Caenorhabditis elegans: one gene and its partner. The protein of the gene in region 2 interacts with the protein of the main gene of each other region in a pairwise test. Each region holds a gene or a part of one and is shown on either strand. Other genes may lie near its edges.

Region 1 (4,875 bases), 1.2 Mb from region 2:
TAAAACTGATGCTACAGATGATGCAGGAAAAGCTGCTGTCGCCGGAGGTTTCGACACGGTAATTTCGATTGAATTGTTATGATAAAGAATATCAATTTTCAGGGAGACTACCTTCCGCGCAAGAAACGCGAGCTTTTGTTCATCGATAACCTCACTGCAGCTTTCAGAGAAATGAGAAGCCGTCGTGGATTTTAAATACATTTAATTTGTTTTTCGTTTCTTGAAATTGAATGATAAAAAGCGTTAACGTCTTGTAATTTTTGGATTAATTTATGAGACTCGGAATTCGACCGCCACTTCTGACCCAACTGCCCCAAACCTAAGAATTTTGTTCAGAAGTTGGTAAAGGGTGAACAAAGCTTGGCCATGACTTGTCTCAAGAAATTTTTTTGTAAAATATAGGCCAACTTCCGAACTAAATTTATACTATATTTTCTGGCCAAATTGAACTATAAGTGCTCTTTCAAAAATTTAGTCATGTAAAAAACACTCACCCTGAATTATCTCCCAATCCTTGAGTTTGTTGAACATATTGCTCAGCTGCAGACTTATCGGAATAAATTCCCAATGGAGAATTGTATTGCATATGTTTCACACGTTGATCTGTTTCAAAAGGAAGTGCTGAATTGTTGAAACCTTGTGGTGGACGGGTCTAAAAATAATTTATTATTCACTATTTATTAGAAATTTTAAAAAATGTTATGCTATTGTCGTTAAAAACGATTACAAATAACGATTTTGTGTGAAGCTTCCTATTTCAAAACAAAACTCAAATGACTCACATCACTGCTATGCTGCAAATTGACACGATATGGGGTTTGATCCTGTCCTGGTCCAGTATTTTCAGTTACTTCTGGACGCCAAATTCTGGTGGCTGCACCGGATGGTTGCCTGAAATTAAACTTATTTGATATGAATGAAATCAAAATTTATTTATTTTCTATTTAATCTCTTCGATTAAATTTCAAATTACCATGGTCTTGGCGTCGTTGTGATTCTCACCATCACTTTTGAATCTTAAATCATTTCAATTGAACATGAAATATATTTATAGGAAAATGGGTAAACGTAAAGAAAAAGGAAACTTGCAAGTTTTTTTGTTCAAAAATGATAAACACCTGGAAAAGGGAAATATGTGAGAGGAAGTATTCAACAATTTCATTCTCTCAGTTTTTGTGTGCGAGAGGGTGAATAAATTGTTGGAACACTCTGATACAACAACAGAGAATGAAATAAAAAGAACAGTGTCAGAAGTACATTGCTTTGTCATGAACTGACTCATCATTAAAACCCTATTTATTTAAAATTCAACTGTTCAAAGTAAAACATAACATTCAGGAGAAAATTATGCGAATTCGGGAAAAGTAAAAGCCAAAATAATAATAATTGTCAAACTGTTTTGTTTTGGTATTTCTTAAAACTATACAGCAGTTTTGGAAAGAATCTTGAATGCTGTGGCAGTTATTTTTGGCAATTCTATAACATTTTTCCATGCAACTTTTTTTGCAGTTGCTTATGTAAAAAGTGCTCAAAAATAAGTTTAAAGGGGCAAAAATATCTGAAGCTTGTTAAAACTATCAACACAGAATGATTTTTGAGGGAAAAAGGTAACGAGCTTCAAATTTAATGACATTAGAGTGCTTATAAGAGGAGCAAAACTTGTGTTGCAAAGCTGTTGCAAAGCTAAAGAAAACATTGATTGGGACATTTGACCGTTTCAAAACAGTTCAAAACAGTTGCAACGATTTGTCATCAAACGGAATATGTATGTATAAATCCTAAGTCCCTCCTTCTTCCTGCAACGAGATATTCGGAAGAATGTTGCCTTCTGCTTCCCCCGTACCGATTGGCCTGATTCTTATCTGTTCGCCTGTTTATATGGCGGGTGTTCGCTTCGAAAATTTTGGATATCTATATTCTATTGCATGAAGCACTTGCTGTTGGAGATAAACTAAGACGCAGACGGATTAAAAACGGAAAGGTAGGATACATTGGTGATGTGATTAAAACGGAGAACACTTTGACTGGTTAATAAACGGAAATACAAACTGGTAAGTAACCTACTTTGAATTGCGTTGTGATAACAAAGCTACAGATTACATAACTAGGGTTGTGTACATTTTCAAGGGATCGATTTAGGGGAAATATTCGAGAAAATTATGTCTTTCTTATTATTTTCACACACCTGCTCTGTTTATATATAATTTTTATTTATTGTGGTCGACACAAATTTTGAATAATTGGTGCTATACTGATAAATTTGAAGTGTTTAACGAGATGAGTTACCTGGTAACAATAAGTTCAATCTTCTCATGAGCTGTAACTAGAAGTCTATCAACAGCGTTTATGTCCAAATTGTCAAGATCTTCCAAACGATCAACAACATCTCCATTACGAAGACCGGCACGATCAGCTAAGCTACCACCTATTACCTGAAATTTTCAACTTTTATTCGATATTCAACTTGTTTGAATTGAAGGCTCCCTTTGCTTTAAAAAATCCCCCAACGCATGTCAATTTTTCAAATTCATTTTTTCTTACGTTAACGACTAATCTCTCACTACATTTTGTCTATGAGTTTTGAGAGAAATTTTGAAAGCATCTAACTTATTGTAATAAGTGATGTTTTTTGTGTTGCTCTTCCGATTTTCCCTGGGCATGTCCAGAGGATAAAACTGCGAGAGAAAGTGAGGAAGGCGATGAGATTGTAAATCAGTTGTGGTGATGCGGTGATTTTTGAGATCGCGGTAAGAACCTAGAGGTGCTAAAAGTGAATGTGATGGGTTTTCTTGGTTTTTGTATTAAATGTATACGAAAACATATGCCTCAAGACTAATTTTTACGACAAATTTTATTGTGATTCAATTTGGACAAACTGACAAACTACTTTATGACAAATAGGGGGACACTTATACTAAATTTATAATAAAGAGCTTACATTAACAATAAGAACAGCTCCATCTGGGGCTTCTGTCACACCGAACCCCCATGGAGTTCGGCGATCCGAACGAGCCATTCGAACGGTCACACGTTCCATCTTGATTTGACTACCTGAAATTTTATTGTGTCCTGGTCAATAAAATAGAGCGAAACAAATAAAAATAAATCAAAGTTTCAAACAGAATTTAGTAGAACATGTTTAAAAAAATATTGTCCAACCGAAAATATTCATTTTGTTTCAAATGTGTACCACTTCAAACGCAGTTATTTGCTAAAGCGCAAACGTTTCAGTCCAATAGTTACACGAAATCTTCAATAACCACGTGGCGTTTATAGATGAAAAATTTTGCAAACATTTTGACATTTTGAATTTTTACTTTTAATTAAAAATTGAAAACAAAAAAATCGTATTGTTTTCCGTATAGTGCAAAATAGAAAATAAGAGTAAAAGAAGGGAGAGTGAGATTATGCTGGATTTTGTATATTTATCGACTGTCGGGCAATTTGACGGGGGAAATGGTAGTGAATGACTACAACAGAAAAAAAAAGATTGTTGAAAAAGTAAGATGTTTTATTTAAAATTAATAAAGAAATTCAATTGAAATTATGAAACTGAGCATAACGAGTTTTCTGATTCGATGAGTCATTCGTGATTGACAGTTAATTTTTTTTATGGAACTCTTATCGTTTAACGGAACATATAGTTTTAAACTACGTTTAAAAAACGATACCACACCCAATAATTGAAATTTTAGTTTTTTCCAATTTTTTTTTCATAATCAGTGTGTTTCATAATGAACACCGTATATTACCCCAGTTTTGTAGTTTTATTTCTAACTGCCAGTAACATTTTTTAAACTTTTAAAGAGGTGATACTTTTTGTAGGCCAATCTACATAAACTTATGAAAGTTTTATAACATAAAGTTTTATAACAACAAAGCTAACGATTTTTAACATGAAGTCCTGTATCTCCGTTTGCAACTTGAACATTAGTATTAAAGTCCTACAAACCAACCAAAAAAGAACTATTTGAACAATCTGGTAATGCTACTTGCTTTGAAGTAAAAAATAATTATAAACACAAAATACCACGAATGACGTTCTGAACTAAACTTCCTAGAGATCTATCGTATGTGAGCTAAAATGTTGGCAAAAAACAATCTTACATGATCCTAAATACATTTATCGAATTGCAGAGTACAAGTTTTATTCAAAAAAAACCGTGCCAACCTTAGGCATTGGTAGATTGCCGTTCATAATCTAAAAAGTAGTTTTAAACATTGTTTTCTTATATGAGATGGGTGATTTCAGATTACATCTTCAATTTTAGGTTGAAATTGCATTGTATCAAGTCTAGAAGTATACAGAACTAATGTATAAATTAAGACGGTTGAGTTCCAAAAAAAAATTCCAAAAAATCAACTTGGTGTTGTGTTGCGGAGGTGGGGGTTCTGCTGTTCTGAGGTCTGTGCGGATAAAGCTTCAGGCCCAACGGTGTACGGCACGCGCGGGCGTGAGCACATCCTCTCGCTCGAACTCTGACATTCTCTCGCTCTTCCCGGCGCGGGAAGCCTTCTCGCACTTCATGGCCATCTCCTCTTGAGCTCCCGAGAGCCGGGGGAGCTCTCGGAATGATATAGGGATGATTTTGAGGAGGCGCAGGTATTGGACGTGTTTGTAGTAAAGCGAGTGCGCGTTGCTGATTATCAACGAAAAGGGGAGGGGGATGGGATGATAAGAAGACCGAGACGAAAATGAGAAGAAATTTGGAACAAAAGTGCGATTTGTTTGAAAGAGCTTGAGACATAAAAGTATGAACACTTGTTAGAGTAGTTTGTGGTATGAAGTATAGGGTTTTTTCAAATCACAAAACGTTTACATTACCAAGTTTATGCCAAAAATGAGCCATGAGCGGAATTATAAATATATTATAC
Region 2 (6,861 bases):
ATCTAAAACCCACATAATTTTTCAAAAATCCTTTTGAGCCTTAAATAAAACAGAAAATAATTATCGACTCGAATTTATGAAAATTTTGGATAAAATTTCGAACATGTTTCTGATAATTTTTAAAGAACTTTAAAAAATGAACTGATGATGTAATTAGACGTTAAACGATTATTATCAGATTTCAGATTTTTACGAATTATTGCTTTCAGATTGGCTACACCCGTGCATACACTGGCTTAGAGCAATGGATTTGTGATCAATCTTACTGTAATGCTGATCTCAAATCAGCTGAACTCTCTTGGCCACCTGAGCTATATTTATACAGGTTGTGACTCTTGACAACTGAGAAATAATTTTGATTATTTCAGAAATATATCAAATCTCCGAGAGTTCAATGTTTTCTACATCGACTCCGCTCGCTCGTCATCCTCGATTTTTCTTGCCATTCCCATCGTTTTTCTAATTAATTATTGCCTTTTCCACTGAACCACCTTTTTCTTTCATTTTTACAAATGCTTTCAATATTTTCATATGAACAAATTTATATTTCTTCAAATTACTTCATTTTCAAACAATAAAAGCACCGGAGATTCTATGTTCTCTTTCTCAATATTATTTATTCTTCATCGACTTTTCTTTGAACCCATACGATTTTTTTCTGCTCGTCTTCAATTATTTTTTTCAGCTGAAAAATAATAAAAAGTTAAGTGCGGCACGAATTGAAAGAATAATTACCTGTAGAACAGCGTGAGTCATCATGAAGCTGACATTATTATGACTTGGCACTACAAGTGTAACTGATCCATCAAGATCTTTTTCTATTTTCAAATCCTGAAAATTAATTATTGGTATATCGAAAATTTTTTGAAAAGTTTCGAAAAAGTATTGTGAAAAGTTTCTATAGACTCCGATGAGAGCCTCTGATCCGCCTCTTCAATTGCCCGCTGCGTTTTTGGATGAGAGGCAATGAGACGACGGTAGAGACCGGGCGGGTTAATTATGTTTTCGTAAATTACCGTACCTTTTCAATAAGCTGTTTGGCTTCTTTTGAACTGATTTTCTCTCCACAAATATGTTCATTGACATCTTTTAACTGTTTAACTGACTTGAATCGAATCTTCACAAGAATAGGGAACATTCTACATCTTTTCAATCGATCAATTGCAGACTGATCAACTTGGAGGACACAATGGAGTCTGAAAATCTCAGCATAACTATGAAAATGTTTGAAAACTCAACCCTTGAGCCGTGATATCCATAATATGAGCAGTTGATACGACGTGATAAAGATCATAAACATCATCGTTTTGTTTCGAATCAATCAATACTTTATCCTTCAATAAAGCCGATACTTCATCCAAACTTGCAGTTAAAGACTCTCTTGCAACAATTGAAAACTTATCAGATTCATCAACAAGCATTTGAAGGAAAGGCTCAACAACTGCTCCAAACAAAAGAACCGGTCGTTTCACTTTTGTATCCAACTTCTCAACCCACTCATAAGCCTTCTTCGGGAACGGATTTGCATATCTGTTAGCTCGAATTGCCTGATAAACAGTCGTTGAACTTGGAATAGCTCCATGTTCTCTTTGTCGTCCCTCTTTGTCCACTTTCCATGCTCTCCATCTTCCAGTTTTGCCCATTAACATAGTCTTGTCAACGAAAACAACATCACCACATTTTAAATCCAGTTCATCTTTGTTCTCCATTGATCTATCGATATTAACACGAAGGAAGAAACTGTCACCGTCAGCTCCAAGTCTCAAACGATTCAATCGATCTCCACCGTCTTGAACTAGAAGACCTGTTAACTCCGAATTATCAGCTGATAAAGTATTCATTGCACACTCGAGTGTTGTATTTCGAACGCAATTTCCATCGATTGATAAAATGAGATCTCCTTCGAGAAGGTCAGAACCAATTGATTTTTCAGCGAGGATACCTAAAATATAGCGGAGATTATTTTGACATGAATTGCTTTCTCGTACCAATCGCATTTCCACCACAAAGTTTTACATCACTTCTTGGAACCTCGACCAGTCTCGGTTGAGATGAACGGTTTACAAGAAGAGATTCAGAGTGATGATTTCCACGTGGCAAGTGATATTTCTTATTGGATCTTCCCTCAGCGTAACTGTGCATTGCACTTCCAGTTGTTGAAATTGAAAAATCACTTCCATCTTTACTTATGCAATGACGTGGAGGTACTCCACTCCCTCCAGTCAAGCTGCAGGTAGCTGAAACAATTTCTAGACTACAGCAGTTAACTTTTGAAAACCTACAATTATTAGGATACTGATTGGAAAAACTTGTGCTTGGAAGTCGAATGGAGTTACTCGAAGACATAACAGAAGACATAGAGTCATCCCGAATTGTAGGATATACTGGTGGATGACTTGGACTGTAAACAGCTGATCTTCTGTGGGGTTTTCCTTCCATTATAGTTGATGATGTAGGTGTGAAGTGCATAGAATATGGACGAGCATCTGAAGTTGTCGTGTTCGATGAAAAGCTTCTTCCATCCCATCCTCCTCGATGAGATGATATTTGAGACATTGTTCGTTTTTGCTCACTATTTTGACGGATTAGTCTTCTGAAAGTCAGAGTTTTCTTCTTTTTTTTGACTAAAAATGTCAAGAATCTTACGTCACAGGTGACGTTGGTGTGCTAAATATGGTACTCTTAGGAACATATACTGGAACTCCTTCGATATTGGTTCCAGCAAATACGAGATCTTTTTCATTAACTGAAGATGGGCTCCATAAAGCTGTTGGAGCGGCTGTTGAAGATGAACTTATTTCAGAATGCGCTGTGGATCTGAACATTCAACTTTGTAGTAATCAAATTTGAAGGAAACTAACTTTGCATTGAATCTTTTATCCAGTGCATCCAGCATTAATTTTGTATGATCAATGCTACTTGAATAGGTTGGAGCACGTAGAGAACCATACCGTACCAAGGGACTCATTGATGCTGGAGAAGCTTGTGGCATTCGCAGAGATCCCTGACGAAGAAGAACTTGATCATTTGAACGATCAATATTCGCTTTTGCAACAACAGTTCGCTCTTTATCAGATCCACCATTTCGACTGAACCACTGAAACAAGAATACTAAAGTTTCACTAGCATTTTATAACGAAGGTTTACCCTCGAAAATATAGTTTGTCGATGTTTATCCTTTCCATTATGATCACCTCGTTTAGTAGATTGAAGAATTCCAATGACTAGAGGCTCTCGAGAATTTTTAATTAGCATCTCAGCATGTTTAGCATCATAAACAGGAGTGTGCATAACATGAACAACTCGTTGCCCTGGAGCCAATCCACTACGAGAAGCAGCACCGTTTGGTTCGCAGGAATTAATGAATACTCCATTGGATAGTTCAAGACCTACACCTGAAATGTAAAACTACACTCTTAAATGTAATAAGTAACTCACCATAGTTCAATGGCAGACAAACATCACTAATTTTATTGCAATTTGATCTTCTTCTAATAACAAGATGAATGTGATGACAGTTGGATAACATTCCCATTACACTTCTTTCGTCCATATCTGTTACAGATATGTCATTGACCATCATTATATGATCCAGCTTTTTCAATACATTATCAAATGGAGAACCGTGAGCAATTTGTCTAACATATATTGGACCATGAACAATTGAACCATCGTCCGTACGGCCTCCACCAAGCATAATTCCCAAGTTTGGTTTGTTGAAGGGCTGAAATTAATTTCGTTTTTAATTTTTATCTTGGCTGTCTGAAACGAAACGATTGAAATGAGTTTTCTTTCAACTTACCAAATTAATTTGAACAGAATGAGTATTCCAAATATCCACAATTGCATCTCCAGTTGTCTGTTGACATTTTCTCAAAGCTTCATCTCTTTCTTCTGTAATTCTAGCTCCATTTTGTTCTGCTTCTGTAAGCCTTGCAATTGCAGCTTCTTTTCGAGCATTTGCCTGAGCAGTTTCTTCCATATTGACTTTCAAGAGTCTTCTTGTATTTTCAAGTTTCTGTTTTAATGCAGCAACTTCTTCAGAATCCTGAAATTTTTTTTTAATTTGATTGTCATTGTAAAATCAAACCTCTTTCATTTTTTCAATTTCTTTTTGCAGTCGATCCCTCTCTTCATTTTGACGAGAGTTTTCTTCTAATACAATACTTCTTTCCTGCATTGTTTCCTCATAATCTCTCTGGAGAGCTTCATATTGTAACCGTAGCCGTTTGTTCGCTTCTTCAATTTCCATTTTATATGTTTCACTTCTGAAATATATTTTTTTTCATAACGGGCCATTTTCCAATGGTTTTTAAATATTTATTAGTTTTCTTCTGCTGAAAATTATTTTCGAACGTTTAAAAAAACTTGAATTTCAAATTTTTAAAGCCATTCAAATTTTTTACAACATCATTATGATTAAAAACTGGCCCGAAAAGTTTCAGATCGACAATTCTCTAGTTTAAAGTGCACCAACAAATTCTCTCAAAAATGACATATTGATTTTATTTCGAAATTTCAGGAAGTTAACTACCACTTATCATATACATTTTGGTACCAATTCCAGGTCTTTTTAATTTTCAATAAACATTTTTGAGCTTTTCTAGTGATTTAAATCATGAACTAACCTATGTACTTGTATTTGTAGACTATCAATTTTCTCTTCAAACTCATCAATTTTCTTTCCAATATCATCTCGCTCTTCAGATGCTTTTCTAACTTTTTCCATCCATTTTGCCTCAACTTCTCGAATCTCTTTTTCCATTTCCTCTGCAATCCGTCTTCGTTCTGCTTTTTCAAACTTTAACTGTTTCACTAATTTCTCTTTTTCCACATCTTCAAGCTTTTCCTCTTCATTTTCATTTTCATCCTCTTCAACTGACAAACTCGACGGTTTTGCTTCCACTTCTACCATATAGAATTCTGAATGAAAAACGGAGAAATGGGTCAACTGGACGACATACGGAAAGGACTAATTATAGAAGATGGAATAGGAGAAAAGATAGAAAGAAAATAAGTGAGAAACCGGTCGAATGCGCAGGAATATCACACTGATTTGTTCATTCGGTTCGTATGGAATAGATGGAGGAAAAGAAGAAGACGGGTGAATTAGAAATAACACAATTTGAAGAAATTTCCTTCAATTAACAGTTAAAATTAGTTGGAATTTGAAGGTTACTACAAGAATGAAAATAGAGGCACTTGAAAATAGAAACGAGATGTTTTTAAATATTCTTTTGGAAATACATGACAGATTTTTGAAATACAGACCAACGTTATTGTTTTGCTAATGAAATGAAGGAACATATACCACAAACGAAACACTAAAAAAACTAGAAATACTGAAAAACTCAACTTTCGATAACGATTTTCCCAAAACCTGACTAAGCTCACTGTTTGAATTTCTTTCAAAATGAAAACTGTGAAAATAATCAGTAATTTGTTCCACATATTTTTATACCAATCAGATGAAGTGTGTGCGGAGATCAAAAGCCACACTGCGATATTCCAACTGAACATTCAGATTATAAGATCCATATATTTCAAAATAAAAACAATACTCACAGTGTTTCGATCCAACGAAAATTCACACAAAAACTGTCTTAATACGGTCAAGATGGGCGGTGCATGGGTCCGAAATAATCCGTTAAAAGACGAGTTTGCAGGAAAAGGAAAAGAATAAACATACGAGTCTTGCCATCATCATCGCCTCAAATACAAACATACAAGGCAGAGAATCTTAACAAAAAACTATGTTTTGATACGTTTTTCCATGTTTCGATAATATAAATTTTTACTTGGCTCTTGGTAAACTTTAAGCTTTTTTTTTTGACTTTTGACAAACTTTGGAGCTCCTACCTTTGAACAAAATATAAAACATCGCTAGTTGGTAACCTGATCAATTTTTTAAAAATAGAGTCGATTTAAAATTTAGGCCGTTAGCTTTAACAGAATATGTAGAAACGCTGTTTTCTAGAAGAAAATATTATTTTGAATATTTCAACCGTGAGAGATAGTGTAATAAAATCGGTTAAACTTTAACCTTAAAAACCCACATGACTTTTTTCAACAAACGATATATGTGTATTTACAATGTTTGTGATGTGTGAAACGAATTGTTTGAAGTTTGTTCAAATTGAATTGAGATGAAATAGAAAAATGAAAAGAGTAGGAGAAGGAGTAGGGAATTTTATGTAGGAATTTTAATTGAACTTGAACTACATGTCATTCTTGTGAATCTGAAAAATTACCTATAATATAATAGGGCTTCCATGCAAATAGAGGGTGCCTACTTTCGTGCCTACGAGGCAGGTGTAACTAGTTTTTAGGGTGATATACCAAAGAAACCTATCACTGGAGTTGAGGAATAATTTCAGGCTAGTAGTCCTAGGTGTATTTCACAGCATGTTGACAATTTACAAATAGACGTTTATCAGTAACAATTCATAGAAAATTTCTGTGAAAATGATTTTATCTTTAATACATAGCTGAGATTTAAATGTAGTTGAAATCCCATTGACTAAATTCTAATCCACTTCTGATGGTAAACTCAATTTCATAAGGAACATTCTAACTTCATGAAATAATAAAAGATAAAACATTTCATAACAAATCATGTATCCAAGTAGATTGAAGAGAAGTAGGTTATTAGAGAGAAATGAGAGGATACATACAGATACAGGTCGGTTGCGATGGGCGCACGACGAACGAACAGTTCCTCCCGGAAAGTGAAAGAGAAATGCGGGAGAAGGTGGGTGAAATAGTGTTTGAAAACAAGAGAGTTTAGGTAGACAACCAAAGAAACTGTACGAATGGGACGCATGGACAAACACGCTCGTTTCTCTACTGCTTCTTCATCTC

What was found. The genes of interacting proteins can lie anywhere in the genome.
Region 1: the proteins of magu-4 (region 2) and alp-1 interact in a two-hybrid assay, tested with the Caenorhabditis elegans proteins (3 studies listed by BioGRID).

Annotation. Positions count from the first base shown.
Region 1 is NC_003282.8:8,850,676-8,855,550, reverse strand, and holds the start of alp-1 (PDZ and LIM domain protein Zasp), read right to left. Parts: upstream 3,052-4,875; 5' UTR 3,038-3,051; coding exon 2,939-3,037; intron 2,433-2,938; coding exon 2,287-2,432; intron 1,022-2,286; exon of another isoform or gene 1,006-1,021; coding exon of another isoform or gene 974-1,005; intron 892-973; coding exon 783-891; intron 653-782; coding exon 495-652; intron 256-494; exon of another isoform or gene 196-255; coding exon of another isoform or gene 103-195; intron 59-102; coding exon of another isoform or gene 1-58. Other genes in the region: T11B7.5 (uncharacterized protein), read left to right, coding at 1-58, 103-195.
Region 2 is NC_003282.8:10,007,870-10,014,730, reverse strand, and holds magu-4 (PDZ domain-containing protein), read right to left. Parts: upstream 4,979-6,861; 5' UTR 4,916-4,978; coding exon 4,629-4,915; intron 4,269-4,628; coding exon 4,091-4,268; intron 4,049-4,090; coding exon 3,803-4,048; intron 3,725-3,802; coding exon 3,439-3,724; intron 3,396-3,438; coding exon 3,148-3,395; intron 3,098-3,147; coding exon 2,862-3,097; intron 2,818-2,861; coding exon 2,647-2,817; intron 2,594-2,646; coding exon 2,283-2,593; intron 2,238-2,282; coding exon 1,989-2,237; intron 1,943-1,988; coding exon 1,240-1,942; intron 1,197-1,239; coding exon 1,022-1,196; intron 832-1,021; coding exon 736-831; exon of another isoform or gene 686-735; coding exon 617-685; 3' UTR 524-616; downstream 1-523. Other genes in the region: F44D12.2 (DUF7622 domain-containing protein), read left to right, coding at 210-325, 369-486.